4 linked regions of the Notamacropus eugenii genome follow. The protein of the gene in region 3 purifies or fractionates together with the protein of the main gene of each other region. This does not show direct contact. Links are inferred from orthologs where the notes say so. Each region holds a gene or a part of one and is shown on either strand. Other genes may lie near its edges. The genes, in order: EIF3D, EIF3K, EIF3B and EIF4G1.

What was found.
Region 1: the proteins of EIF3B (region 3) and EIF3D purify together in Homo sapiens (affinity purification with mass spectrometry; 10 studies listed by BioGRID and IntAct, with this or other methods). This does not show direct contact. The link is inferred for Notamacropus eugenii from reciprocal best matches to the Homo sapiens genes EIF3B and EIF3D.
Region 2: the proteins of EIF3B (region 3) and EIF3K purify together in Homo sapiens (affinity purification with mass spectrometry; 7 studies listed by BioGRID and IntAct, with this or other methods). This does not show direct contact. The link is inferred for Notamacropus eugenii from reciprocal best matches to the Homo sapiens genes EIF3B and EIF3K.
Region 4: the proteins of EIF3B (region 3) and EIF4G1 purify together in Homo sapiens (affinity purification with western blotting; 7 studies listed by BioGRID and IntAct, with this or other methods). This does not show direct contact. The link is inferred for Notamacropus eugenii from reciprocal best matches to the Homo sapiens genes EIF3B and EIF4G1.

The regions. Positions count from the first base shown.
Region 1 is NC_092874.1:293,568,202-293,575,174, forward strand, and holds the start of EIF3D (eukaryotic translation initiation factor 3 subunit D), read right to left. Parts: upstream 3,017-6,973; 5' UTR 2,745-3,016; intron 1,453-2,744; 5' UTR 1,443-1,452; coding exon 1,320-1,442; intron 1,019-1,319; coding exon 973-1,018; intron 797-972; coding exon 660-796; intron 1-659. UniProt on the Homo sapiens protein: mRNA cap-binding component of the eukaryotic translation initiation factor 3 (eIF-3) complex, a complex required for several steps in the initiation of protein synthesis of a specialized repertoire of mRNAs.
Region 2 is NC_092876.1:31,814,505-31,821,495, reverse strand, and holds the start of EIF3K (eukaryotic translation initiation factor 3 subunit K), read right to left. Parts: upstream 3,018-6,991; coding exon 2,740-3,017; intron 1-2,739. Other genes in the region: MAP4K1 (mitogen-activated protein kinase kinase kinase kinase 1), read left to right, coding at 4,460-4,558, 5,595-5,652, 5,742-5,832, 6,346-6,410, 6,806-6,861. UniProt on the Homo sapiens protein: Component of the eukaryotic translation initiation factor 3 (eIF-3) complex, which is required for several steps in the initiation of protein synthesis.
Region 3 is NC_092874.1:386,499,669-386,506,888, reverse strand, and holds the start of EIF3B (eukaryotic translation initiation factor 3 subunit B), read left to right. Parts: upstream 1-4,207; 5' UTR 4,208-4,344; coding exon 4,345-4,903; intron 4,904-7,220.
Region 4 is NC_092873.1:57,030,768-57,038,491, reverse strand, and holds the start of EIF4G1 (eukaryotic translation initiation factor 4 gamma 1), read left to right. Parts: upstream 1-4,721; 5' UTR 4,722-4,848; intron 4,849-6,470; 5' UTR 6,471-6,528; intron 6,529-6,687; 5' UTR 6,688-6,721; coding exon 6,722-6,781; intron 6,782-7,045; coding exon 7,046-7,132; intron 7,133-7,451; exon of another isoform or gene 7,452-7,589; coding exon of another isoform or gene 7,590-7,622; intron 7,623-7,724. Other genes in the region: PSMD2 (26S proteasome non-ATPase regulatory subunit 2), read left to right, coding at 72-155, 1,039-1,207, 1,334-1,428, 1,565-1,691, 2,196-2,314, 2,428-2,610.

The sequences.
Region 1 (6,973 bases), about 93 Mb from region 3:
CAATGACAATTTCATTAGTCCCCATACACAAGTCAAATTGTACATAAAAAGGGGCAAAGTATGGCTGAAAGTGTAAAAATGTCTCTACCATAAAAGCATTCAGATTAACTCCAACTGTGAGGGACCACTTTCACAGAAGCATGTTGCTGAAACCATGATCCACCCCCCTCTGCCTCCCTCCCAGAGGGTGGGGTCTGGGCAGTCCCCACCCTTGCTTGCGTCTCCACCTATCTACAGGCTATGCATTACAACTTCTTACATCCAACCCACTCCTTTGACCCATCTGTGATGGGATGTTCTTGCTACCTGCCACTCTGCTTGGACTCAATCTGTGACTTCAGGGGTAGAGGAGCTCTCAGGTGAGGACACTCCCTCCACTAGCGTAGGCCAGCAAATGTCTCACAACTCAGCTTGCCCAGAGTCACAGAGACTGGCCACTAAGTAAATCAAATACTTATAGACTCCAGAATAAAATCCTTTTTAGTCCTACCTGCAAGGAGCCCGAGAAAGCCCTGAAATGGTAAGCAACTGCCAATGGGCCACTTTTCCCCAAGGAAAGCCTGACTTCAGTAAATGAATGGACCCCAAGCCCCATAAGCCAGGATCTTCAGTAATGCTTGGACCCAATGGCAGGACCCCCAAGATGGTTTGGTCCTAACCTGGGCAAACCTCATCCTATTCCTTTGGTAAGCCGTCTTCTGGGTCCGGGCTGTGTCTACGAGTTGGAAGCTGGTCTCATCCTCCTCATGGAAATAAGCGTATTGACTTCCACCCCCAAACTGGGAGGAATACTTATCTGAAGAGACAACACAGCAAATACTGACTTAGAGCTTCAGGCCCCTCATCTAACGTCTTCTGATGAAGAGACAGACCCGGGGAAGGCAGGACAAAGGGTCATGCAGTGGAACAAATCCTTTTCACATGCTATTTTCCCGAGTTCCCACTTCAGAAAGTCAGTTCAGCAACACTTACTCGTGTACCTCTTATCCTGGTAGGTGGCCCCTGTCCAGTCTGCAACCTAATCAGGATGACAAGGAGGAAGAGAAAACGCACAGGTCAGTGGGTCAAGCCACTGCTGCCTCAGAAATCCCCAGCCAGGGACCAACAGAGCACTCTGGCTAACAAAAGACCAGCCACGGTGCCTTGGGAAGCATCTTGTCTGTCACAATGACTTTCAGAAGGTCATGGCCTGTCTCAGCAGGCATCATCACAAGGAATACGGGTGACCTGGGCTTTTGAGAGAATGAAAACTCCAGCATGTGCTGCCAGCTAGCCTCAGCAGGCTTCACAGATTGGAATCCCTGCAACCTTGAAGTTACCTTTCCCAGCCGATCTCCTTTACTGAAGGGCTGATAGGGCATGTCCCGAAATTGTTCGGGGACTGCACAGGGACCCCAGCCTGAGGGGTTGTCCTGGATCACAGGAGTCATGAATTTTGCCATCTTCTAAAACCTTGAAAAGACAAGCAGATCATTATGGCCAAACCAGGAGATGCTCAAAGGGAAAAGAGCTTTTCCCCACCTCTCAAGTCTGGCTGAACAAACCCAGCCACATATACTCCCATAGGGAGTCACCTCCCCTGTATTCCCTGATTTCAACAACCATTAAAACCAGCAGCACAGGGATTATTATCATCTGATTTTTACAGCCAAAGAAGCCAAGCTTTGAGAAATGACATCTAGGGTCCAACCCACAGCCTAAGAACAAGGATCCTTTCCTGAAGACATCGGTTGCCATTGTTTCAGACTCTCTGTGACCCCATTTGGGATTTTCTCAAAACCACACTAGAGGGATTTCTCATTTTTTTTCTCTAGCTTGTTTGACAGATGAGGAAACTGAGGCAAGCAGGGTGAAGTGACTTGCCCAGAGTCACACAGCTAGGAGGGGTATGAGGCTGCATTTGAATTCAGGTCTCCCTGACTCTGGGTTTAGCTTTGCTGATAAATAACAACGTATCTTTGAGGTGCATTTTTATTTAGGCAATAGGAAACTGGAGGGTGTTAGCATATGCGGACATGGCATGCAAACCTGGACGCTTCCCAGCTAAAGTTGCACCACTGATACATTGTAACACTGCAAATCTTATCATTGTTGTAACACAATTGTCACACTTCTTCACTGACCCAAAGGAGGAGAGGAAGCCCCCCCCAGCACGAGAGGGCCCCCGCCACTGCCCTGGCCCAGGAGCCGGGTCTCTACGGCTGCTGGTAGGCCCAGAGTAAGGGGCTGCACCAAGAACGGACCCTTCCTCCAAGGCGGGGTGGGCCCCAGGGCGGGAAACCCAGTAGTGCCCCAGCTATTTACACGGGGCTTTCCCTCGGGCCGGGGCGTGGTTCTCAGGACCCCCCTCTGCCCCGTGGGTGGGCACGGGTACATAAGTGAAGACCAAGCAGGGGAGGGTCGGGTCACTGCCCGCCTACGGAACCTCAGTCTTCCCGGCTGTAAAGTGGGGCGGGGGCACGGCGCCCGCGGATTTAACAGAAGCTGGTGGCCTGGGATCTCGAAGCACTGCAGGATTAACTCCCGCAATCAGGGCCGGGCCCAGAGACAGCTCTTAAGGTAAGAAGGCCAAGCCCTTCCCACGCCAACTCCCGTACAGGTGGGGAAACTGAGCCCGCAAAGACTACCCGGCGACCAGACCTGAGGCCTGGTCGGGGCCGCTGGCTCCGGGGAGCGCGGGCATCGGGCTCCGCACGTGCCGGGGCTCTCCCGGGCCCCCCGGCCCCGAGGCCGACGCCGCTCACCTGCTCAGGCCCCGGCGGGTCCCGATGGCGACGGATGATTCCAGGCGCAGTACCGGCGCCACCAGCCACTTTCCATGGACCGACCAGGAAGGGACCCGGGGTGCGCGCGCAGCTCCCGGCGCCGTAAAGCGGCGCAGTGCGTCCGGCCTTGTCGTAAAACACTGAGAGAACGCGCCCCTTCGCTCTCTTCGGGTGGGGGAGGTGGAGGGCGGGGCGGAGCCGTACAGCCGTAAAGGGAAGCGGAACCCGGAAATGAGTCCTTGTCTTAAAAGGAGAAAAAGGGAGGCGTGCACACGTTACGTAAACTCCACGTCCGGCGAGGGGGCGGGATCAAGTTTTCGCTTGGAACGTGGCGTGGAGGTGATGATGATTACTATCTTCTCTCTCAGTATCCCATAATACCCCGCGGAAAACTACGACGCGCTAATCTGCCCCTCTGTATCCCATAGTGCCTCGCGTGGCGGGCGGCTCTTTTCTCATGCTCCTCTGTATCCCGCAATGCCCCGCGGCGGCCTCAGTTCTCTGACCCTAGGGGTTATCAAGGCCGGCCAGATAGGGGCGGGGGCGGTGGGGGTTGCCCTTCTCGCTGCCCTTGGTCAGCTGTTGCCTCCACTGCGGTTCATCCTGGCCCTTCTGCCACTTTGTGGATGTTATGATAATTACAACTCCAGCTAGCGTTAATCTGACGTGTGACAAGTGTATGACGTCACGCTGACCGATCCAGGGTCGGGAAATTCTGTGTTCAAATCCCACTGTGGTCACTTTGCACATCGCTCCATCTGCCTCAGTGTCCCCATATGCAAAATGGAGATGCAATAAATCCCTCTGGGGGTGTCTGGGATATAGCAACCAGCGCCCGCCCTGGAAGAGAGGTGGGAATCCACCTGGGAGGGCTGAACGCCCTGGGTTCGAATTCCATGCCTGACCCTTCCAAGCTTTGTGAGCCTGGACAAGTCACAGCCTCTCCTGGCCAACGCCCTTCCAGTTCTTAGGCTGTTTCTATAAGACAGAATCACAGAGATCCTACTTGAGATCATAGGAATCAATCAATTGTCCAATTATCTTTTTTTCAGTCTATCTGACTCTTCATGACCCCATTTGGAGTTTTCTTGGCAAAGAAAGTGAAATTGCTTCTCATTTCCTTCCCCAGCTTATCTTACAGATGAGGAGAGGGCAGCTAGATGATGCAGTGGATAGAGCGCCAGTGCAAGAGTCAGGAGGACCTGAGTTCAAATCTTACCCCAGACACTTGACACTCACTAGCTGTGTGACCTTGGGCAAGTCACTTAACCCCAATTGCCTCATCCTGGGTCATCTTCAGTCATCCTGATGAATATCTGGTCACTGGATTCAGATGGCTCTGGAGGAGAAGTGAGGTTGGTTACCCGCACAATCTTCCCTCACTCAAAACAAAGCCAAGTGCAAGTCATATCATCATTTCTCTGATGGCATGGTCTTCTTTGGCAACAAAGGACGAACACACACACACACACACACACACACACACACACACAGATGAGGAAACTGGGACAAATGGGGTTAAGTGACTTGCTCAGGGTCACACAGCTAGGAAGTGACTGAGGCTGGACTCGAACTCATGAAGATAAGTCTTGAGTCCAGGACTGGTGCTCTAGGCATGATGGTACCCCTACCTGTCCTTTAAGGAGGCTGAGGCTCTGTAGCTGGAATTTGGTGGCAGGCTTTAGGCTGGGGGCTCAGTTCTGATTCAGGAACACTGGAGTTTGTTGATTGCTTCTGATGGCTGATTTCGAGGATGGGGGGGTGGGGTGGAACTTTTCCACAATTACTGAATATCAGAGTTGGATGAATTACCCTATCCTTGTATGTAGACCAGGGGGAGTCTACTTTGGGGATTGTTCCATTTGTTAGGAAGTAGGTGAAATCAGCCTCTTTGGAACATCCCCCCTCTGATGCCCATCCTGCCCTCTGGGGCCAAGCAGGGCATTTCTGACCCCTTCTGCAGGACAGCCTTTCCTTCCTCCCTTTTCAAGCACAAACAATCTCACTTCCTTTCACCTCCCTCTTAGGGTGGGATTTCAAAGCTCTTCATGTCAGTTACCCTCCGGTGGACATGCTCTATAACAATGTCCTTCCTAGAATTTAGCAGATGCCTAGGCTAGAACACCACAGTACAGATTCAGTCTTCTCAGGGCAGAGGACAGAGGTCTGGGAAGCTGCTACACTTGGATCAGCTTTAGTGTGACCTAGACACAGACTAGTGTGGACTGGGCCAAGCTTGCCAGAGGAGAAGGATGTTGACCTAAGTCTCAGGGGAGGGCTCTCAGGAAGACCAGAGGCCCGGGAGTCAGACATAGATGTGTGCCAGGGGCAAGCCAGCACTCGGAGACAGCTAGGGTCAGCAAGGGTTAAAGAGAAGGCAGCTGAGAGGTCTTGATCATCTCCGACACCGTTGTCTTCTTTTGCTTGATTTCAGCCTTTCCCCGAAATTTCCCAGTACCTGTAAGCCTGAGAAAGTCTGGATAGAATCAGGACAAGGATGTGCTGACAAAGTGCCCAGTGGTCTAAGGAGGAAAGAGCCTTAAGGGTTAGTGGTAAAGCTTTTCCTGACCTGGTGTGGGGCATTTCTGACCCGGTCAGTTCTCTGGACACACCCCTTCTCCCCTCTGCCCATCTCCCTGATAATCAGGGCTGCTTGATGCCAGTCCTTCAACCCAAACAAGGGACATGAGGAATGTGGGAATTTCAGGCACCTTAGCAAGGCCAATGGTGTGTGTGTATGTGTGTGTGTGTGTGTGTGTGTGTGTGTGTGTGACAGATCTGAGACTTTACAGTTTATGGGGAACTTTGGAATATATGATGTTATTTAGCATCTTTATGGAGTCATGACCACTTTGTGAGGTGAGGTGCAGAGGAGAGATTTTTGTGTCCATTTTAAAGCTGAAGAAACTGAAGCTCAGAGGTCATAGTTTATAGGCAGCTCATTTGGTCTGCTCCTTTCATGTTACAGGTGGGGAAACTGAGGCTTAGAGGTCATAGTTCATAAGAAGCTTGCTTGGTTTCCTGCTTTCATGTTATAGGTGAGAAAACTGGGGCTCAGAGGCCATAGTTCCTAGGGTGACAATCTAGGGTGGCTAGGGTGGCTCCTCTCATATTCTAGGGCAGGAAACTGAGGCTCCAGGGGTGAAATGAGATGTCCAAGATGGTAGAGGTGGGACAAGAAGCTAGAGATTCTGGGGCCCCAGTTGAGCTTAGCACCATTTCCTTGTTTTACTAATGGGTAACCAGTTCCCTTGTTACACAGATGAGGAAACTGAAGAGAGGCAATGATTTGTGCAAGGTCGTACAAGCAGAATATGGTGAGGCTGGATTCAAAACCAATACCTAGCACATAGTAGGTGCTTTAGTGGTTGATGGAAGGAAACCCAGTCCCTCTGAGTGCAGACCTGTGCTGTCCTCCTTTTAGAGTGCTCACAGAGCCCAGGTGGATGCTCAGATGTAGAAAAATATGGAGAAAGAATATGGAAAGGAGGGCATTGCATCATCCTGCTGCAGTTGGGGGATGGGGAAGGGGCCAAGCAGGGAGAGGAAGGGAAGCCTTTGACTCACCACTCTACCCCTGCCTCCCAGGCTCTTGTCGCCCCAGCAGGTTCTAAAATAGAAAACCTGGGAGGATTCAGGCCTTTAAGAGTCTCGGGATGAAAGGCATGCCATCCATTCAGAGTCTCTGGTATTCATAATCATTTTTTATTTCAATTGAATGTAGACTCAGTCATCACAGGACCAGTTCTCAGAATAGAGAGGTAGGGACCTGTTGAATCAGCCAGCCCACTTCCTGCCACCCTCGGGCATCGCTCCAAGTGCTGAGGCATCATCCACTTTCTGCTGGAGCCCAAGATAAATAGAGATTCATGGCCCTGGCTACAAGAGGCAAAACAGATTTCCATTTTCCATCCTTTCCTGCTGCCCTTAGTGCCAAATTACTTTGCTGGTTTGGAACAATCTTGTTGTTTTCTCTCAAATGAACCTTCTCTAAACACTTTCCTTGTCCCTCAGATTTCTCTGTGACAGGCAGCTAGGGGACTGGCTGGATTCCTTATCAGAAGACCTGGGGTCAGTCACATTCTGCCTGGTTGACCTTGCCTTTCCTCATCTGTAAAACTGGAGAATTAGAGTTAGGAAATGATCTCTGAACTCCCTTCTAGCTGGAAGATTCTGGGACAGAAGCTTGTAGATAAGAAAGGACCATT
Region 2 (6,991 bases), on a different chromosome or scaffold from region 3:
TAACCCTATTTGCTTAACCTGTTGGAGAAAGAAATGGCAAACCTAGCCAGCGTTTTTGCCAAGAAAATCCCCGGGACAGTATTGGTGGGCTGTGGTCCACCGGGTCAGATCCAACTGACCAAAAACAAATGGATCATCCTGGTCAAGAGGTCCAATAAGCAGCTGGAGAGGTGAGTAGAGAGGTCAGCAGGCTGGATAAGTAGACTGGAGAGTTGACAGAATATAGATGATCACTTAATCCATGGCAGCGAATCACCAAGTGAAATATAGATGAAGACAGGCAGAGACCCAGGCAGCCTTGGTGGGGTCACCCTTCTATTAGCAGTCCTGAGCTGGATGAAGATCCAGCCAAGGAGACTCAGAAAGCCCTTTGCTACCTGGTCCCAACTTCTCCCAGCCTCTGCTCCCCACCCGCCTCATGACCCGTCCTCCCCCAAGCTCAAACCGCCCTGACAATGAAACTTTCCCTGACTCCCACCACTGCAGTGCCCTACCTTACACTAACACTGACGGTACACATGTTGACAGACTTACATGATGCCTCCTTCCAGTTCCTGAAGAGTAGGAGCCTCCTTTCTTTCTACTTGTACCCCTCGAACCCAACATAGTGTCTTCTGCCTGCCACAAGCTTCTTCCTACTCCCATGCAGCCACCCCCCAACTGCTAAAGCACTGGCCTGACCAGTCATCTGGCCCATATTCAAACTCTAGGGGCTTCTATCACCCCCAAGATCAAAGAGAGACTCCTGTTGAGCTTTTAAAGCCTTTCCTTTCATCTTATACCATTCTTTGGCCTCCTAGCTGTTGCTCTCATCTCTAAACTCTGAAAGTCTAGAAGGCTCTCTTTGTCATCTTTGCCTCCAGGCTTCCTTCTGGTTTCTGCCTCAAGTCAGTAAGACATCGATTCAAACCTTGCCTCAGACACTAGCTATGTTGTCTGCCTCAATTTACTCAACTGTGAAACGAGAACAATAATAGTATCTACTTCTTAGGACTGCTGTGAGAATGCTGGGCTATCTCCAGTCTTCCTGATCTGTATCTGGGTCACTGGACCTAGCTGGCTCAGGAGAAGTGAGGCTGGTGACTGTGCACAGCCTTCCCTCACTGTAATCCAATTTATTTGCATGTAATGGCATCCCCTCCCTGATGTCATGGTCCTCTTCAAGAACTCCATGAGGAGAAAAGGAGCTGTTCACTGGAGACTAAATTGGAACTGGTCAGTTAATTGGGCAACTAGTCTTTATCTTCTTTCCCTCAGTCCACATAAGGTATCACACCCTTATCTTTGGGTGCTCTGTCTGAAAGGAAGGTAAATTTTTAATCTCTGAAACTTTTTCTTCCTCTTCTCTTATTAAAAGACCAGCCTTATCCCCCAAAATCACTCTGGTGCTCACTGATTGGCCAATAATAGGTCCTAATCCAAGTCCTACTTGGTCACTGTTTGGGCCCTGATAAGCTCAGAATAAATGTAGGTAGCAATTATTTCTGTTTTGGCCAGAAACCTTTGAGGTTCTTCCTCTCCCAGATCTATTTTTTTAGAGGTCATTCTTTGCCTCATTTCTTATTAAGCCTTAATTAGTGAATAGGCATTGCCTCGCTCAAACCGGGACAAGATAAAGACCTTAGCTTGAAAAGGCCAAGGTCCCCCACTGCATCCTGGGCCACCTCCAGTTGTCCTGATCTGTATCTGGCCACTGGACTCAGATGGCTCCAGAGGAGAAAGTAAGGCTGTGGACTTTGCACAGCCCTGCCTCATTTAAATCTGGTTCACTTGTATGTCGCAGCATCATCACCTTCTTCTTTGAGAACAAAGAACAAACAGTAAGCAAACAGCTGTGAGGGTCAAATGAGATGCTTTTGCAAAGGGCTTAGCATAGGGCTTGGAACACAGGTGCTTAATAAGTGTTTTTTCTCTAACTCCTTGGCAGGAGACTTTTCCTGTCCCCCAGGCTATGATTATCTCCACCTCATCCTTTTCCTACAGAGTTGTTTGCATGCTGTCTCCCTCTTTAGACTGTGGGCTCTCAGAAGGCAGGGAGGAAAGCAGCAGCCTCCCAATCAGCTCCCAGCCTCGGGGTTCTCCCTGTCAGATCCATCCTCCACACAGCTGCCTCCCTGACTTTCCCAAACTTCAGGCCTGTCACTTATCCACTCAATCAACTGAAAAAGCTGCTTTCTGTCTCTTGGATCACAGATTTAGAAGGCATTTGATCCAATCCCTTCATTTTACACAAGAGGGGCTGGGGATTGCCAATTCCAAATACCAACTCCTCCCTTTGGCTTTTAAAGCCCCCCCCATATCTTGGCCCCAACTTACCTTTCCGGCTTCATTATACCATTCATCCCCCTCCCACCTCACTCTACAATTCTGAGCGGTTCCTCGAGCTCCATTTCCCACCTCCGTGCCTTTGTCCAGGCTATCCTCCACCCCTGGCATGCTCTCCCTCCTGGGGCCCACTTTGTGGGATCCCTCGTTTCTTTCAAAGCTCAGTTCCTGAATTCTTCCCCTACACCCCCCTTTACTTTGTATTGGCTGGCATCTATTTGGCACCTACTATCCCGGGTTGGCCCGTGAGCTCCTGGAGGCCAGGGGCGGTCACACTATTTTTTGGTAAGCGCTTGCGGATGGGCTGCTGGACACCACACAGCCGTAACCGCACGGCCCGGGAATTCCCTCCCCGTCCGTCCTCGGGCCCAGCCCCTGCGGCCCCGGAGCCCTCCGAGGCCTGCCTGCCCGCACCTGTCGATGCCCTTGAGCAGCTTCCCCACGTTGGCGCGCATCTGCTCGAACAGCGCCATGGCCTCCTCCTTTTCACAAGCAGACGCAGACGCCGAGACCGGGTCCGGAGAAGCAACAGGAACCGGAAGGGGCGGGGAGGGCGGAAGTTCTCCTTCCCCGATGACACTTTCGGCCGCATGGTCGTCAACTTCTTCCGCAACGGGAGGCGGAGGTAAAGGCGGCGGCGGAGGGGGCTGCTTCCGGGTAGCACGTGACTTCCTCTTCCGGGATCGGTCCATTCTGGAGCATGCGCACTCGCACCGACGGAGAGCGGGCCAGACAGAGCTCACCCACGGTGAGGGAGGTGGGGAAAAAAACCCTCGGGAGCCAGTGCGCAGGCGTCCCAGGGTCTCTCTCGCCCTCTCCCCCTCCCCCTAGCGTCGCTCACTCCCCCTCCCCCTCGAGTGGGCGGGACCAAAGCTGCTGCATTGTTGCCCCTCCTCGCCGGCTTCGTCACGTGACAGGAGGCAGCTGCGCTGGAGACCCCACGAGTGTCCCGGGGAGGGGGGCGCCTGGATGCACGTGTACTTTGTGCACACATGAGACTTCCACGACTCCACATCCAACACGATCTCTTGCCTGTCCCCCACCCCTTGGTGCCTTCCCCCTGTCCTTGGTGTCCCCTCGGACACATGGCGCCCTCCTCCAGGAAGGCCCCTCCTCCCGTGGACTGTCTCCCAGTGCAGACCATTCTCTCCCCAGGGAGACGGAAGACGGGGGAAGGGTGGCAGTCACTAAATGAGTGACTCGATTCCCCTCCATCCGGTCCCCGGAATAATAAGAACGGGTGCGGCGACTCTCCCTCTCCCTCACTCTGGTTTGCCTTAGGCGCCTAATAGATGCTTAATCGATCGTCTCTCCCACGCATATTCCCATAAAGAGAGTCTCTCCTTCCCTGCCCGGTGACTGGCCAAGGCACGGGGTCAGCGGGTCAACAGCATTTTAAACACCCGTGAAGGGCCAGGCCCCGAGCTCAGGGCCGGCACCTAACCACGCCCAGTGGGCCGGGGGCCTCTCGGGCTCGCTGCTGCTCTGGAGCCCAGTCTGCAAACCCGGTGGCAGAGGTTGAGCTGGGGGCTCTCCAAGGTGCTGTCCAGGCTGTCCGCGTCAGCTCCCACCTCCAACCCAGACAGACAAGGCTCTCCATAAAGCCTGGTTCACTGGACCAGGGTCTCCGAGTTCTCCTCTCCGCCATCCTTGTGCCTCTCCCCACCCTGTCTTCTTCCATCCCAGCTTCTCTTTAGTCTGTTGGGGATCCATTATGTTCACTGTCCTGCGTGGAGAAAGGGGAAAGGTCCCCCACCGAATCGATAAACCAATAAGGCCTTATTTGCATCTCATTTACATTAGAGAGATTTTTCTGTCTAAACGCAAAAAGGAACCCCCTCCTTTTACCCCAGAGTTGTGCTGTGGTCCCCTGGGGCCACAAAGTCAGCTTGGGCCTGGCTCTCCCGCTGGGGGGGGAGTGAAGAGGGAGGGGCCCCCCTAGTGAGGCCTGGGCAGGAAGCGAGAGTGGGGGCCCTCGCGGCTGGCGGGCAGGGGAGAACATACCGCCTGCCCTCCTCCCACGGCTGCTGCTGCTGCTGCTGCAGGCTGAGTCAAGCATCTTCGCTCACAGAGGGCTCCCAGGAGGAGGCAGCCCTCCCCCTCCCCGAAGGCCTCCCCCCACCCTATCCCCAGCATGGACAGCGAAGACCTGGACATCGCCACCAAGGACCCTCAGGACCACTATGAGCTGCTGCAGAGGGTGGGGGGTGGCACCTACGGGGAGGTATTCAAGGTGAGGGGCCCTCCCCTCGGGGCCCATGTCCTTTGCCCCCTCTCCTCTAGGGTTCTCATATCCCTCTCCCCAAGGCCTTTTCCCAGGGCCACCTTTTCTCCCCCCAAGTCCTTCATCTTTTTTTCCCTGCCAGTTTTCCTACCCAGGAACTTCTACCTCCCTCGCTTCCCCCACCCCCACCCAGGAACTCCATTTCTCTTGCTTACGAGCTCCCGAAAACCCTTCATTTTTTCCTTACTCCTAGCCTTCATACTCAGGAACTTTCATCTCCCTCCCTCCATAGCCCCCTAATCAAGGTCTCTACCCCACCCTAAGTGCCTCATCTTCTTCTTCCTCTCAGCTTCCATCCCCCATCCTTCTATTCCTCCCCCCTTCCCTAGGACCTTCAATCCACCTGTCTGGGGGACCAGTCCAGTATTTGGAGTAGAATTCTGAACTTTGCTTCTGAGGTGAAGCAACAGGGAGGAGGCTAAGGAAGATGATGGAGGCCTTTGGAATCCTTTGGTTGTGGAGGTGGAGGGAAGGAAGCATCACCCCAGAGGTTTCCTCCCAGCTCCCAAGGACTTAGTTTAAAATTGCCAATGGCTGCTGGCTGGAAGAAAATTAGATTTACTCTGCCTAGCTCTGGAGGAAAGAACTAGCTTTAAAGGTGGAAGTGAGAGTGAGAAAGATGGATTATCGTTCAATTTGAGGAAGAGCTACCCTAACCATTAGCATTTTTAAAAAATGGAAATGAGCTGTGGGTTGGGGTAGGGAGTTCCCTTTCACTGACTTTGGAGGCTGGATGACCACTGGCTGAGGATGGGGATGGTGGGGAGAGATTTGTGTTTCCAGGAGGGCTTGGGGTAGATGGTCACGGAGGTCAGCTCTCCTGTCCTTCCTTCTATCCCAGGACCTTCTCTTGGGTTTGGGGGCTTTTAGAGGAACTCTGAGTTACCAGGAAGAGGGGACATTTGTACACCATTCTGCTCATTTGTTCCGGGTTTATGTATCTCCTGCTCCCTGCTTCTCCCCCATTACCCCCTCCCTTCCCCAGGCTCGGGACAAGGTGACAGGGGAACTAGCAGCTCTGAAAATGGTGAAGATAGAACCAGGTGAGACTGAGATTTGACATCCCTCCCAACCCTTGACCTTGGGATGTCTAGTGTCCACACACACATTCTGACCCTTTCTCTCCCTTCAGATGATGACCTAACCACCCTCCATCGGGAAATCCTCATTGTTCGGACCTGTCGACACCCCAACATTGTGGCCTACCATGGCAGCTACTTCTGGTCAGGGCCACCCCGACAGCTTCCTGACCCCTCAGACTGGCTGCCCAGCCCCCTAGATCGACTTTCTTACCCCTAGACTGATTATTCAATGCCTCCCCCCCCCCCAATTTCCTAACTCAGACCAACTCTCTAAACCTACAATCAGTTCTTTAATCCTCACCTTCTGCAACATCCCTTTGGATTCCCAGAAAGAATCTCTAACCCTCACACCATATCCTTGGCTCCTGAAAGTGGCCCTATTACCCTTCAGACCAACTTTCCTGATTCCTCTGCTCCCCCACCCCAATTAGGCTCCCAACTGGCCGGATGTTCCCTCTATCTAGTTCCTGGTTTCGCTAAAGCTAAAGAGACTCAGAACTATGGATGGCCAAGGCATTTCTCTGGATAAAGCCCCTAAACTCTTAGCCTCCCTGAGACTGAACCTACTCTGGCTGATTTTATTCCTTCCTCTCCCCCCCACTCCCACCCCATCCCTGCCCTCCTCTCCCTTTCCCTTCACTCCCTCCCCCCCAGGCTTCAGAAGTTATGGATCTGCATGGAATTCTGTGGCGCTGGCTCACTCCAAGATATATACCACAGTAAGGAGGCAGAAGGGGGGGGGGGTACCCTCCCCAGGTGGAGAAGCAGCCTACTACTGACCTTCCTGGCTTCCTTTAATCCCAACTAAAATCTCACCTTCCACAATCTACAGGAAGCCTTCCCCACCCCATCCCCCCTTCATTCTTGTGCTATTTCAGTACTATTCAGTCCAGATTGGAAGCTCTTTGAGAACAGATACTTATCTCTTTTTGTATCCTCAGTACTTAACACAGTGCCTCTCTTGTAATAGGCGATTAATATATGTTTACTGATTGATTGATTAACTCTGCTCCCTTCCCCTTCCCATCCCTTTCTCCTCTTTCATTCTATCTTTGCCTGAGTGGTGACTCAGCCCCCTGACCCCTGGGGTGGGGGTGGGGGGGATCTGTTGCAGTGACTGGCCCTCTCTCTGAGCTTCAGATTGGCTACATCTGCAGAGAAGTACTCCAGGTGAGGATGACACTTTTTTGATCCCCTCTCCCTCTTCTCCCTCTCCTTTCCCCTTCCCTTCTCTTTGTTTTTATTTTGTATACAGTTTGTTGTATTGGGGGCTCAAGTTCTGCCTCTGGCACCCATTGGC
Region 3 (7,220 bases):
GAGCACCATGTAAGGTAATATAGAAGCTACTTGTCAACATGGACTGTACCCAACCTCCTTTTTCCAGGAAAAAGTATATTCCCAGAATAAAAAAAAAAAAAGGTTTTTTTTTTTTATCCAGTGGTATAACAACAAATAATAACTGGCATTTATGTAGTATCTCTTATGTGCCAGGCACATTTTACAAATCTTAATCTCATTTAATCTAACACTCCTGTGAAGTAGGTACTGTTATAACCCTAATTTTACAGGTGAGGAAACTGAATTAAACGGAGATTAAGTGACTTACCCAGAGTCACACAACTAGTAGGTTTCTAAGACTGGATTTTAACTCAGGTCTTTCTGACTCCATGTCCAGTTTTGGGCCATCTAGTTAGCTCAATCCAAGGGCTCTGCAGGAGCCAAAATACTTAATTGGATTTTAGTCTTCTCACAGCACCTGGGGAAGGATTCATTTCAGGAGGACAACCTCTAACTGAAATTTTTCTTCAATTATTTAAAAATATCATTCTGAGGAGTCCATAGACTCTATCAGTCTGTCAAAGGGATTCATGACAAAAAAAATCAAGTAAAGTGAGAAGGCAGACAGTGGCTCATAGGATACTTTGGGGATCTGTACAGTAAAGACTTGACTATAATTTCAACCTCAGACACTTATTGTATTACCTGGGGCAAGTCACTTGACTTAGTCCTCTTATCTTTCCACTTTGTATTAGGCGTGGTTTCAACCCCAAGGAACCAGATGCATGCCCCAGTTAGATAACCTCCTCATTTCTTAACTTACCACTATGCTTGTTACCTCAGGCATTAATGGATAGTCACCACCTCCCTCAACCCTTTCTCCCTCTAATTAGAGGACTGGAGGGAGAGTTCAAACTCCCCCAAAGTCTTCCTTTATTTTATTCTTAATTAAAATTTTTTATTGTTTTAGAAAGAGAGATGAAGCCTGTTTGTAAGGTTCCTTTCTGAAAGCATGGTTATCATAATAAATATAAACCTAACAGGCTAGCTTCTCACTTGTGATAATGTTCCAGATCGAGGTTCTTGAGACTATTTGGATAAGATAATAAACTATGTATAAGCATTTGTTCTGAAAGGAAACCATACTCTGGGCGGAAAATGGGGATCAGCAGCATAAAGAAAAAGTTTTTGTAGAAAAAGATAATCCTTTGTGAGGTGTTTAATCAGATCTTTCTCACTTTCATTCATATAAACTTGTTTTTAAAGTATGCTAATATTTAAGATTTTCTACACTTATAGTTAGAAATGTTTATAACTAGCAGTTACGAAATAACCAAGTACTCCCATCAAAACCTAGAAACAAATTGCTGAAACCAACACTTCTTAATCTGATCATAATCAGTTCATGAAGGTTTTGATATTTTTACAGCTTGAATGCCTTTTACTGAAATGGTAAAGGAAAAGCAGATTTTATGTAACATAAGTATATATTTTTTGAACTCTATGGAAATGAGATTTTAAAATCACTTAAGGATATCTTTGAGAGATCAGTTATGTCCATCTTCTATGAGGAAGAACATGCATATCCTGGAGCTCTTTAAAAAATACAATATTCATTAATTAAAAACTATAGCATTAATAAAAATCACTTATATATAGTTCATATATATAGTATACGTTTGGTCTAATAGCAGTGTACTGACAGTGCTCTGAAACAGTATTTCTCTATTAGTTTAAATAGAATGTATTTAAGAAGCAAAGGCTTCCTTTATAGAGGGCTCAAACTGGACTCAGATCATTACCCTCCACAGAACAAGATGCCTCAGTTCAGGGTGCCCTCCCCCCCTTTTCCTTCCTCCTTTTGTGTGCTGTTTCTCCCTTTAGACCATAAAGTCCTTAAGGGCAGGGACTGTCTTTGTTTTTATTAATTGCATCCCCAGACTTGCACAGTGCCTGTACACATCATAGGTGCTTAATAGGTACATAGGTAGTAAGCACCAATGTTTACTGGACTGGCCTTAAGCTGTATGCCTCAGATTCCTCATCTGTGAAATGGGGATAATGACAGCACCTACCTCCCAGAGCTGGGATGAGAATCAAATGAGAATAATTGTAAAGCATTTAGCAGACACTATACAAGATGTTAGCTAGTTTAAGAAAATTATTATGAAAAGCAAATGAAACTGTTGTTGTTCAGATATGTCCAACTCTGTGAGACTTCGTTTCGGATTTTATTGGCAAAAACATTGCAGTGGTTTGCCATTTCCTTCTCCAGCTCATTTTACAGGTGAGGCAAACAGGCTTCATGATTTGCCCAGGGTCACACAGGTACTCATTGTCTGAGGCCAGATTTGACCTCAGGAAGGTGAGTCTTCCCAATTCCAAACTCAAAGCTCTATCCACTGTGCCTCCTAGCTGCCCCCCCCCCCATAAAAGTTATTATTACCATTACGAAGATCAAATGTGATAACTGTAAAGCACTCAGCACAGTGCCTGGCACCCAGGAGGGGCTATGTAAATGTTGTCCATCATTATTACTAGGATCAAAGGAGATAAGTGGAAAGCACAGAGTCTCACACATGGTAAGTTACTTGAATTACTACTGCTGCTGCTACTACCAATACCACTACCATCTTTTTTTTTTTTATCTTTCGATTCCTGTGTAAATTGGATTTAAAGGAGGCAGAGTTGCACGAAGTTGTCAGCCTCACTCTCTCCTCCAGTCATCATAGTCCAGTGGCAGGACAGAGTCAAGTCGGCTGGCAATGGCTCAGGATGCAGTGGCGGCTTTAGTGTCCAACCAAGTTCTAGATGCTCCACAAGGCCTGCTTCATCTGCCTTCATGGCTGTTGGAACAAATTGTTGTCATGCACCCATTCCATCAGAGGAAGTCTTCACATGCTTGGGGTAGGCATCCCCTAACTCACCAATGGATTTGAGGACCCTTGGTTACCCTCAACCTGGTTTGGCCCATCGGCCTAAAGGGTTTACAGGGTGTGGGGGCTGTGCATGCTGCTGCTTCTTGGAGCCACCAGTGAGAATTAGGTGGAACATGTGAGCACCGAAGGTGGAAAGAGGCCCGCCCCCCCCCCCCCCCCCCCCAAAAGGGCTGGCAGCCATCACCAAAAGTACTGGTCCTTCCTGAACACACCCTACACCACCACCACCACCACCACAGGCACTGGGGTAAAAAGCAGACCCCGCCCTCAAGGAGCTCACATTCTTCGACCAGTAAAACTTGCGTCCAAGGTCCCCCCCAAAAGCCCCTCCCCGACCCCTGGGTGGAGGAGCTGCCACACCTGAGATTTCAGCGGGAATGGGAAACTCCGGGAGAGGACACGCCCCCTTAGAGCGCCGATGGGAAGAGAGTAAATGACTTGCCCAAGGCCGTACATCCCCCTCCAGGCTAACCTCCCACGCCACGCGAGACCCTTTGAAAGAGCTCCGTTTCCCTCCCCCCCACTCGACCCACGGCCTCCGCACCACTGTCAGGGTCCCACCCGAGCACGGGAGCCCCAGGTGGGCAGGCTCCAGGGGAGGAGGTCTCTAGTGGGCCGTTCCATTCCGGAGAAACCACCGATTGTGGGGACAAAGCAAGGGATAAAGGCAGCGGCAGGGAGAGTTAGAGAGAGGAATGAGAGTACCCCCACCGATCCAACTACGTCATCGAAGTTAGCAGAATCCTCCGGATGGAGATGGTCAGCTCCTCCGCCCTGCCCAGACTTTCTTTTCCACTTTGGAATGGTCCGTTTCTTTGCCTAGTCAGTAGACCAGTCTAAAGTGTCGGGCGCGGAGGGGGAGTTAGGATTATGACCTAGTAAGTTCTCCGTTTAGAAGTTAATAGAACACTACCTAATAATTTTACTGAACTTTACATTTTCTCTGGAATTGGTTAATAGGTCACATTTCTTTTTCTTTTCTTCTTTCAAGAAAGGAACTTCTGCCTCCCCCTTTTGAGGTTCCCAAATGGTTCAGGCTGTTAACGTAGAGCTTAACGAGACACTACGAGAGTGACTGCCATGTTGGACCGAGCCAAATTGTTTCCCCAAGATGGGGGGGCCCAAAGTTGGAGAGTATTTAATCTAAAGAGTTAGGCGGCATCAACGACAGGAACCCCGCTTCTTGTGCCCGTAATGGAAGTATTCCAGACATTTAAAAACAGGTTTTCGTGGCTCTGAGCTTTTATAGGCAAGCTGTGGCAAACGAGGGCGTGGGACCTTCCCCCTCTCCGTAGGTCCGTTGGTACGGTCCTTCCCCCAGGTTGGGCGCACATGGCTTGGGAGTAGGAGCCGGCGGGCCCCGCGGTGGCAGCTGGTAGAGTCGGAAGTTTGGTGGCGGGGAAACCAGGGGAGCAGCGAGAGCTGAGCGGCGGCGCCAAGGCCCATGCAGGACGCGGAGAACGTGGCGGTGCCCGAAGCGGCCGAGCAGCGGGCTGAGCCAGAGCAGCAGGCCGCCGAGGAAGAACCGGAGAGGCCTGCGGGGCCCGGGCCTCAGGAGGCGGCAGCTGCCGCCTCCGTGCTCGTGCCCGAGGAGAAGGGGGAAAAGGACGCCGCCGGGGTGACGGTGACCAAGCCCGGGTCGGAGCCCGAGGCAATCGCGAAGCTTCCTGCGGTAGAGAAGGCCTCTGCTGAACCGGCCTCGGCCGGGTCGCCACCGTCGTCGTCCCCACCTCCAGGGGAGCCGCAGCTGCCCGAGAAGGTTCCCGAGCCCAAGGCGGAGCCGCCGGCGGCTAAGGAGGAGACGCGGGAGGAGAAGGAAAAGGCGGAGGACAGAGGAGGGAAAGAGGAGGAAGAGGAGAAAGAGAAGGAGGAGGCTGGGGGCGAGAAGGAAGACCAGGGCAAAGAGGCGGAGGCCGAGCCTCGGCGCCTGGAGAATGGCAACGAGGAGGACGAGATCTCCTTCAGCGACCCCGAAGGCTTCGTGGACGACATCAGCGAGGATGGTGAGAGCCGGGGCTTGGGGTGGGGGACGATGGAGAGGGCAGGGACCCCCAGGGAAGGGAGGACCGGTCCCCCGCCTCGAGATAAGAAACTGCTTTTTTCCCCTGAGTCTGGAATGGTCACATAATAACAATAGTCTCTATTTATCTTTCCTGACTACCACCCAGGGTGCCGAAGAATTATCACGAGACGAGGAAACTGAGGCATGTAAATGACCTACCAAAGGTTGCAAAGAGCTCTCTTTTTGTGCTTTGGACTCCTTTGGCAGTCTGGTGAAACTAAGACATTGTGTTTCCTAAGGTGGTAAAAGGAAACTGATCATGCTGAAGTAGTGGTCAATTTCACTTTTTTAGATACCAGTTTCAGAGGTGTAAGGTCTAGAGCCAGGATTTGAACCTGACTTCGTTTCACTCCATCATGTCTTTTTCTCTACTTATTCGTTGATTCAGATTTCTGTTGGTGGAGAAACTGTATATATTATGTACAATGAATGAATAGGACAGGTTGGGGGATGGGATGGGATGGGGTAGGGAGAAGAGTCTTGAAGACCTGAAGGCGTTACTTTTCGTGTCTGAGCCTCAGTTTCCTCACTTGTTAGATAAGAATAGTTTCATCACCTTCAGAGTGGTGAGTATCAAAATCATGCATATGAAATACTTTTCCCAGTTCTTTAAGTTCTATAGAAATGGGAGCTTTATTCTATGTTGTAATTTTCTTCTCATTTTTGTGAGAAAAGGAAGAGAAAGAGATCTTTAAAAATACTGCTGGTCTCTACAGGTTTGAGTCAAAAATGTCCAAAATATAGTAGATCAGTGTTCCAGGAATTTATTTTGTTTTACAAAAAAGATTAAATACCTTAATGTGTTTTACTCACAGGACCCTGACTCCAAGGTCTGTGGGTGAGGTTGCCACTTCTTTCAGATAACTAGGAATATTTGCTGTACTGTATTTTAGTCTCTGGGTTTTAAAACAGATGCTTCTTTTTCAGGGAACCTCAGAACAGGTCCAACTTTATAACTTAATTTCCCCTTCCATTTAATTAAGCTTTTAATTGATACACAGCCCACTAATCTTAGATTTTCCTATAACTGATGGGGGTTAGAGTTAGTTGTAAAGGGGCAGCAAGCTGTCAGCATCTGTCTAGGTGATCTGCTTCTCCATTTTTAAACTCCGTAAATGATGTGTGATGTAATAATAATTTGTATTCATGTAGAATTTTATGCTTTCTTTAATATAAATTTGAGAGTTACAAAAATACAGGTACAAATATTCCCATTTTACAGGTGAGGAAACTTGCAGTAGAGAACAGATTATAAAGAAAGGAAAGAGGATTTGAGTTTAGATTCCACCTATAATTTGTGTTTTGTTTTTTTTTTTGTACCTTGAGTAAATTATTGCACCCTTCAGGGTTTTAGTTTCTTTATTCATCAAAATGAGGAGTTTGGACCAAATGGCTCCTGAAGTCTTTTTCAGCTCTAGATCTATGATTCTGTGCAGTGGGTTCCAATCCCAAATCGGCCAATAAAATAATTCGTTTGATGTGAGGTAACTTTGCCTCCATGGGCTTCAGTTTCATTATTTCTGAGATCCCTTCCAGCAGTTAATCTATGATGGGAGATTATCAAATTCAGTCTCATTTTTTTTCTTATTGAACAGCTTTTAATTTTTTTTGTTACTTTTTCCAGTTAACAAGCTTTTATTTTCTTTTCTGCCTTCCCCCAGGTAAAAAAAAAAAAAGAAAGAAAATCAAAACTTAATAGCATGCATAGCCAAGCAAAATAAATTCCCACATTGGTCATGTCTAAAAGATGGATGTATCTGTATTTTAAGTCGAACACACATCTCTTCATCTTTGGATCTTTGGAATTTCTATTTGTCATTATATTTGTTAGAGTTCTAAAGCCTTTCAAAGTTGTTTTTCTTTATAATCTGACACCTTCATTTTATAGCTGAGGAAAGTGATATGCAAAAAGGTTAAATGGCTTCCTCAGAGTCACTTAATTAGTAGCAGAAATGGAATTGAGACTCATAGCTTCTGTTCCTTAAATCTATCACTCTTTTATCACACTGACTAAAATTAAAAGTAATAATCAACTCTTTTTTAGAAATACATAATAAAAGAAAATAGAATGTACAAAATTGTTGATATAAATTAAAAATAATAGTGGATTATGATTGACCATTCATTGAATTAAAACTAAAAAACATAATTTTAGTTCCATAGTAGTGGTGCTGCAATTGAAATGTATCAAAAGGGAATTCTTCATAATACATTTTTAATGTTCATGAATTAATTCAGGGTATACATATAGTTTGACA
Region 4 (7,724 bases), on a different chromosome or scaffold from region 3:
AGGGGGCACTGGGTTCTGGGGGCCTCTCGGGGCTCCATGGCTTACCTGCTGTGCCTTCCTCTCTCCGGCAGGGAGTGGCTGTGTTGGGCATCGCCCTCATCGCCATGGGGGAGGAGATTGGGGCTGAGATGGCGCTCCGGACCTTTGGTCACTTGGTGAGTTGAGGGGCCAGGAGAAGCCCTCTGGCACTCATGTAGACCAGCACTTTGAGACCCAATGGCGCAATGACCAAAAATTAATTCAAAATCAAAGGCCTAATGAATCCCCAGGTGTTTCTGGCTGCCCTTGTCCATGTTGCATCGTCTCAGTCTCACTGAGGCCTTCATTGTGAACGCAAGTGTGTACACTCTGCCCTGTGCGCGCCCTTGGGCCACACAGCAATGGTGAAAAGGGATGGGAACTGGGAAAAGCCTAAGGAGCCTGGATCAGACCCGTGCTTTTAGATTTATAACAAAATCTTGTTAGTTTAGTGAGGTGCAAATACCTATTCACGTGCACATTCTGGAACAGAGCGAAAGGCTATAGCGAAGCCCCAGACCTCTTTGGTTGGCTTGGGGATCGGAGCCCACAGGGTTGTTTCCCAGTGCAGACTGCCTTGTTCCTCATTTCCCCTTGACCTCTTCCTCTCCCAGTTGCTTTTCAGGTTTTGCTCTTATTTACATACTGTGCTCAGCAGGGCTTTTGTCAAGGGTTTGGGTTTGCAGGGGCTCTCAGATCCTCTTTAAATTATTTGTCTCTTCCCCCTTTTCCTTGAGTTCTTCATCTCACTCACATCCATTCCATTCATGTATCACAGTCTATCAGTCATTGCAGTTCCCTTATTTTACAGAAGATGGAACTTACTGTCTTGGGTGAATGATTACCCCCCAGGCTCAGAGACAAGAAATGGCAAAGCCAGGGCTCAAGCCCCTCTCTTCTGACTTTACCCTGTTGGCCCCCAGGGGCCCTCACACATTTGGATCAGAGCCTGTGGGTGCTGGGATGGGAGCTCTCTCTTCGAGCTCCCTCTGACTTTTTTTTATATCCTCTACCATACAGCTTAGGTATGGGGAGCCCACGCTGCGCCGGGCAGTACCTCTGGCATTGGCCTTGATCTCAGTCTCCAACCCAAGGCTCAACATCTTGGACACCTTAAGCAAATTCTCCCATGATGCTGACCCGGAGGTATCCTATAACTCCATATTTGCCATGGGCATGGTGGGCAGTGGTGAGTATCAGCAGAGAAAGGCAGGTATTGGGCACAAGGGGGCATCTGGGCCAGGTTTGGGGAATGACTAACTCTGTGTAGCATCCCTGCCCCCAGGAGTCCCTCTCTGCTGCTTCATCTTCTCAGGTACCAACAATGCTCGTCTGGCTGCCATGCTGCGCCAGCTAGCCCAGTACCATGCCAAGGACCCAAACAACCTCTTCATGGTCCGCTTGGCCCAGGTGAGGGGGGTGCTCTTCTCTAAGAGACCTGGAGGTGTGGGGGCAGGGTGGGTTGTATACATGTTGGGCCTAGACCATCAGGCTTTCTGGCTGGCTGGTCTTGCTGGAGTCCTGACCCTCCCTGTATCCTAAACAGGGCTTGACACATTTGGGGAAGGGCACCCTCACTCTCTGCCCCTACCACAGTGATCGGCAGCTTATGAGTCAGGTTGCTGTGGCTGGGCTGCTCACCGTGCTCGTCTCCTTCCTCGATGTCCGCAACAGTGAGTGCCCCTTGGAAAAGTCCTAGAAGGGCTGACTCAGCGTCAGGGCAACTCTCCCAAGATGTTAGGGCTCCTTTGGAGATACCTGGATGTTCAGGTTCTGACCATTGGGTGGGTCTTGGGGCGTAGCTGTGCTTTTCTTGGGCTACTCTTGTACTGTTTTATGCCCAGGCCTGACTCCCTTTAGCTGGGCTACAGTGGGACTGGCTGGCTTCTGGGGTGAGGGACTGGCCATTAATTCCATTGTATTTGGTGTTTTAGGTAACTTTTCCCCACCTTTCAAGAGTCAGGCAGAGTGACCTCAGGGTTAGGGGAGCAAGCAGAGTGTGGGCAGAATGAAAGAATGACAGCCCTGGGGAGCATAAGGCAGTTTGGGGAGTGAGGAGCGTCGAGACGGAGGAGGTGGGTTGGGGAAAGCTGGGGGTGCTGAGCTAGAGCCACTGAGGCAGCTTAGGAGTGGATGGAGGAAAGCTGGTCACCTGCCCCTCTCTATTTCATTCTTAGTCATTCTGGGCAAGTCCCACTATGTGCTCTATGGGTTGGTGGCTGCCATGCAGCCCCGAATGCTGGTCACCTTTGATGAGGAGCTCCGGCCGTTGCCAGTATCTGTCCGTGTGGGCCAGGTGAGAGATCTTCAGGGGCTGGAACACGGCAGCCATTCCTCTGGACCTCTGCAGGGCAGGAGGGCTACTGGATTCACTGCTCTAAGACTCTTTCTCCATTTTTTATCCTTTAGGCAGTCGATGTGGTGGGCCAGGCTGGGAAGCCCAAGACCATCACCGGATTCCAGACACACACAACTCCAGTGTTGCTGGCTCATGGGGAACGGGCTGAGCTAGCCACTGAGGAGTTTTTGCCTGTCACTCCCATCCTGGAGGGCTTCGTAATCTTGAGGAAGAACCCCAACTATGATGTCTGAGTGGCCCTGGGGGCCCTAAATTTTAACTTGAGTCTGGGGACTAGGCAATACTCCTTATTCCAGAGGTGGCTCTCCAACAGCCCTTGGGGGGAAGCTGTTTCCCTCCTGTTTTTTTTTGTTACAGAATGAGATGACTATGTTGAATTAAAGACCCTTGTGCCCTCTGTTTCATTAATGTCTTTTTTCCTGGGGTGTGCTAGCTGGGGATGAGGGTACCTGGGCACAGGCTGGAAGGAATGTTCTGGATCACCAAGTTTTTCAACAATTGAAAGTTTATTTCTTTAGCTCATCAGTCACTAAGCATTCATTAAATTCATTACTGTGTGGCAGGCACTGGTCATACAAAGGAAAATGAAATCGTTCCTACCTACCTTCCAAAGAGCTTACTTTCGTTCGTGTGTGTGTTTTCTACAGCTTCTGTACGCAAGCTCTCAGGGGAGCAGGAAATCTATTTTCACCACTTGGGATGGAAATGGAGGCTACATCCCAGTGAGGTTCCGCCACTCAGGATGTCAATCTGTGGGTAGCTCTGTTGGAGCTGTTCTCCCTAATTGATTTGCAGTGGAATTAAAAACTAGATAACCACATTTCTTAGTGTGGTGGAGAATAAGAAAGCCCACTGGGTATTTAGGAGTTAGGCCTGTGTGTGTGCTTTCACAAGGGTATCAGCACAGATGGGCTGCGGAGACTTTCTTACTGTAATTTCACGTTTTCATAAAGCTAAGAAAAGTTTTCTGGATGCTCTTTTGCTCTTGCTCCCCGTGGTGCAAGGCAGCCTTGCCCTGTAGCAGATTAAGTGCGAGCTCAGCAAAATCAGCCAACACATGGATTTGTGCTGGACACGATAGGCTACCTCCTATATCCATGGTCCCCCACCTCCGGGCCCTTTCTGCTGACTCTGTGGTTCCCTGCTGTGTTTTTGTGTAGGTCAAGTGATGAGAACATTAAAGAGAATGAGACCGGGCCAGCAGCAAACTGGGCTTCTTGGTCCTGTCTCCATTTCTACTGGTCACTGTTGGACAGCCTAGCCTTGACTTTCCCTACAGTCCAACTCTACTGACCTCTGCCACCTCCGGGAGAGTAAGCCTCTGGGGTTGGGAATCTGAGGCAAACAGGGCGAGGTCACACAGCTAGTACCTGTCTGTCCTCCTAACGCCAGCCCACCTGGCTGCCCCTGCCCTTCCCTGACCCCTTCTCTTATGCTCCGCTATTATCTGCTCTCCTCGGACCTTAAAAGTTCCCCGCAACTTTCAATCCAAAAGACCTTCAGCAGCCTCCTACGGGCAGCTGGTGGGTACTCGTGGGAGAGGCCCAAATGGCATCACCGTGATACAGCCAAGTTCGGCGCCCCACCGAGGCCCACCAGAACCAATCGTGCGTCCCGCGTTTCCTCGGGGCTGTCTCAGTGCTAGCACGTCGTTGGGCTCGCTGTCCTTCGGAAGGAAAGGGGGTGCGGTCCCCAGGACTCACTGGGCCTCGCGCCTGTTCTTTCGTGTCACTTCCGCTGATAAAATCCCATCAGCTTTGGGTGCTTGGCCACCTGCCGGTGCCAGGGATTTTCGTGGTCAGAAGCCCATTTACCTTCTGCCACGGAGGGGACGGGACAAGGCCCGCTGGGGGGCATCACGCTGGGTGGGCACGGGCTGGGGCAGTTCCTCCAGCTCCTCCGGTCCGCGCTCAGCCCACACGTGGAGATGGGACGCGGACGCGGACACTCCATCCATGCGGCGCTCCCGGACCTCGTGACCTGGGGGCCCTGGGGGAGCCTGCGCCAACCTCCTCCGGCGGAGGGGGCACGACAGCCCGGAGTGGCTCCTGAGGGCAGGGTCTGGTCCGCGGCGGCCCCCAGGGGCTCCGAAGGCCCCCCCCGACAGAGGAATGCGGTTGAGCCAGAGTGGAACTTCTGGCCTCCCGGCGGGCTCCACGTGATCGACGAGGGCCCCCGCGGCTGGGGGCGGGGAAGACTCTGCGTAGCGGCAGCGGGGGGACGCCGGCGTGACGGCGATGACGACACACGCCGCAGGCGGGCCACCTCCCAGCCCCGGCCGGTGCCACCCAGCCCCCTGCGCCGCGGCAGTCACGTGGCAGGCCGGGCCGCGCCTGCGCCTGCGCCTGCGCCTGCGCCTCGGGGAAGAGGCGGCGGCGGAGCCGGAGCGGTGTGCGGGAGCCGGAAATGGTCGTGGACGGCGCCTGTGCGGCTGCGTGGGGCTCGGCCGCGCGGACTGAAGGAGACTGAAGGTAACGGCGCCATGTCCGGGCCCGAGCCGGGCCCCCTCCCCCCGGCATCCGCCGCCATCCGGCCCGGGGCCGCCCGCTCGGCCCCGCTGCCGCCGGGCCCAGCGCGGCCCGGCCCCGCCCCGCCGCCCGCCCTCCCTCCGGGCCGGCCGGTCCCGGCCTCGCGCTCAGCCCAACTCGGCCCGCCGCCCGCCCGGCCCCCTGCCAGCCCACGTGTGCCGGCCGCCGGCCGGGTCGAGCGCGGGGCCGGGCCGGGGGCCGGGGCCGAGCCTGCGGAGCGCGGGGTCGGGGTCGGGGCCAGGGCCGGGGCCGAGCGGGCGGCGGGGCGGGAAGTGACACGTTGTTCTCTGGCGCCGCCGCCTCGGGAGGGAGGAGCCCGGGCCGGCCCCAGGCCCAGGCCCAGGCCCAGGCCTAGGCCTTGCTCGACCCCGGCCCGGCTGGTCGACCCGCTCCCTTCTCCGCTCCCCTCCTCTGCCTCTCCCGGGTGCGGGCCCGGCCGCCCCCTCCTCCAGCCTGTGCTCGACCAGAGGAAGCCCAGCACCTACTGTGTGCGGGCCGCGCGCCCCCCCGGCAAGCGTTGCCTGTTCTGCACCTACTGTGTGCGGGCATTGGGGTCCCCCCTCCGTGTTCTTGGCTCTGTGAGATCAAGCACTGCCTGCTCAGCCTCCCTGTGTGCCAGGCACTAAGGCCCCTTCTTTCCTCTTGTTCTGTAAAGAAATCTTTGCTGTTCAGCACCTACTGCGTGCCAGGCGTTGGGCCCTAGCCTCTCTTCTTTACTCTGTAAGATCAAGCACCGCGTGCCAGGCATTTGGGGACCCTCTTCCCCTCCCTCCTGTCTGCTCTGTAAGAAGCCTTCTTATCTGTCACTGCTGTGTGCCAGGCCATGCAGCCCCATTTCTCTGCTGGCCTCTGCTCCGTAAGAGCAAGTCTTTTCCTGTTTAGCACCTACTGTGTGCCAGGCACTGGGGTCCTCCCCTGTGTTCTCTGCTATGTAAGATCAAGCACTGCTTTTTTGGTCCCTAAAGTATGCTGGGCGTTCACCCCCTCCCTTTGTAAGAGCAGGAATTTCCTATTTAGCCCCTACTGTGTGCCAGCCACTGCCACTGTGCCTGACCTCTCTCTCCTTTTCCCTATCCCCCCAGTCTCTTTGCTCTTCCCCTTTTCCTAGGACTAGTATGTCCTCAGGGCTTCTCTCAGGAACCCCAGGCAGGCCTCCTGACCTTCCCTTCAAACTCTCTCCCTCTCTTCTCCATTGTAGGAACCAGTGTCAGTTCTGGTTCTGGACCTCTTCCTGATAAACCCCCCCCCACCACCACCACCACCTCTTTTGAACTCCTGTGTCCAGGACACCCACCCACCCACTGAATTCAGACCCTCACTTTGGCCCAGCTGGGCCCCAGCTGGCTTCCCCGAGGCTTCCTCTGGCACTTTGTCCTTCACGTGCTTTCTTAGGCAAAAATCATTTATCTTCTGGTGTGTCTCTTACCATCCCCTGGAGGGGGGGGGGGGGGGGTTCCTTCCTTTTTTGTTCTTGGAGCATGGTGCCAGGGAGACCTTGAATTTCTGGTCCGGTTGGTCTTAGGCTTCTGGAGCCAGGTTGATTCCCCCTCCCCTTCTAATCCTAGGCCCCTCGGATGCCCAGAGCCTGTAGGCCACAGCGTGGATTTGTTGTTTCCCGAGGGGGTGAGTGAGGGGCAGTTGGGGCTGGGCTCAGATTCCTGTCTGTGGTCTGGAAACCTGCAAAGGTGGGAGACCCTAGCTTTAATTATTAGGGACTGAGCTTCAAGGCCTTAGATCCCCTCCCTGGTGCCTCTTTGAACACACGCCCCCCTCTCTTCACAGGTGCTGGGGGGACCCTGATGTGGCACCAAATGAAATGAACAAAGCTCCACAGCCCACAGGCCCCCCACCTGCCCCATCCCCTGGACTCCCCCAGGTAATGGGGGACTGTAGAGAAAGGCTGGGCCCAGAACTGAGCTGGGGGGGAGAACAAGTTCCAGTTGGATTCCCCAGCCCCTAGATGGGAGGCAAAGTGGGAGTCTTGGTGGGGGGGCCCATGGCCTCCTGGTTCTGGGGGAACTGAACTTGCCAGCCCCAGCTCTGTTAGCTGTCTTGTCTTGAGCCACTTTGTTCTCCCCCCAGTGGTTTCCATTCCCCCTTAGTTTCTCTTCTTGCTGAATTCTGGTCTCCCCCTCTATAGCCGGCATTTCCCCCGGGGCAGACGGCACCGGTGGTGTTTAACCCGCCACCAGCGACCCAAATGAACACGCCTTCTCAGCCCCGCCAGGTGAGGGTCTGTGGGGAGGCAGCTGGGACTTGGGGGGCTGGGGAAGGACCAGGAGAGTTGAGTGGTCAGGGCCTGGCTCCTCGCACCTGCCTCTGATCTCTTCCAATCCTTGTTCTCCTGTGTCCCCTTATTCTTTTTCAGTGCATTATTTGATAATGAGTGCCCACAGGAGACACGCCTAGGTTATGGGGGTACCCCTAACGGGGAGCCCCACAGAGCTGGGAGCAGTGCACCTGGGGTGGCCCTAATGGAGCTTACATCTTTTCTGTCTCCTCTCTTCTCCTGGTGGTCGCAGTAGCTCTGGTCATTGTCCCTTGTGGCCACTCTAGCCCATGGGGGAGAGGAGCCCCATTTTTTCTCCCCTGCTTCCTTCCTCCTAAGAAGGGATGCTTCTTTCCCTATTCTCCTCACTCCATCCCTGGCCACCTGGGGGATAATTCTCTTCTTTCCTGTCCCCATGTGCTCTCAGGGAGGATTCAGGTCTCTGCAGGTAATGCCTCTTGCCTGATCCTGGACCATAGCCTGGTCTCCCAGTCACGGGCGGGGCAGCAGGGACAGGGTCCTGGGGGATGATGGGGAGATAGCCTCCTGT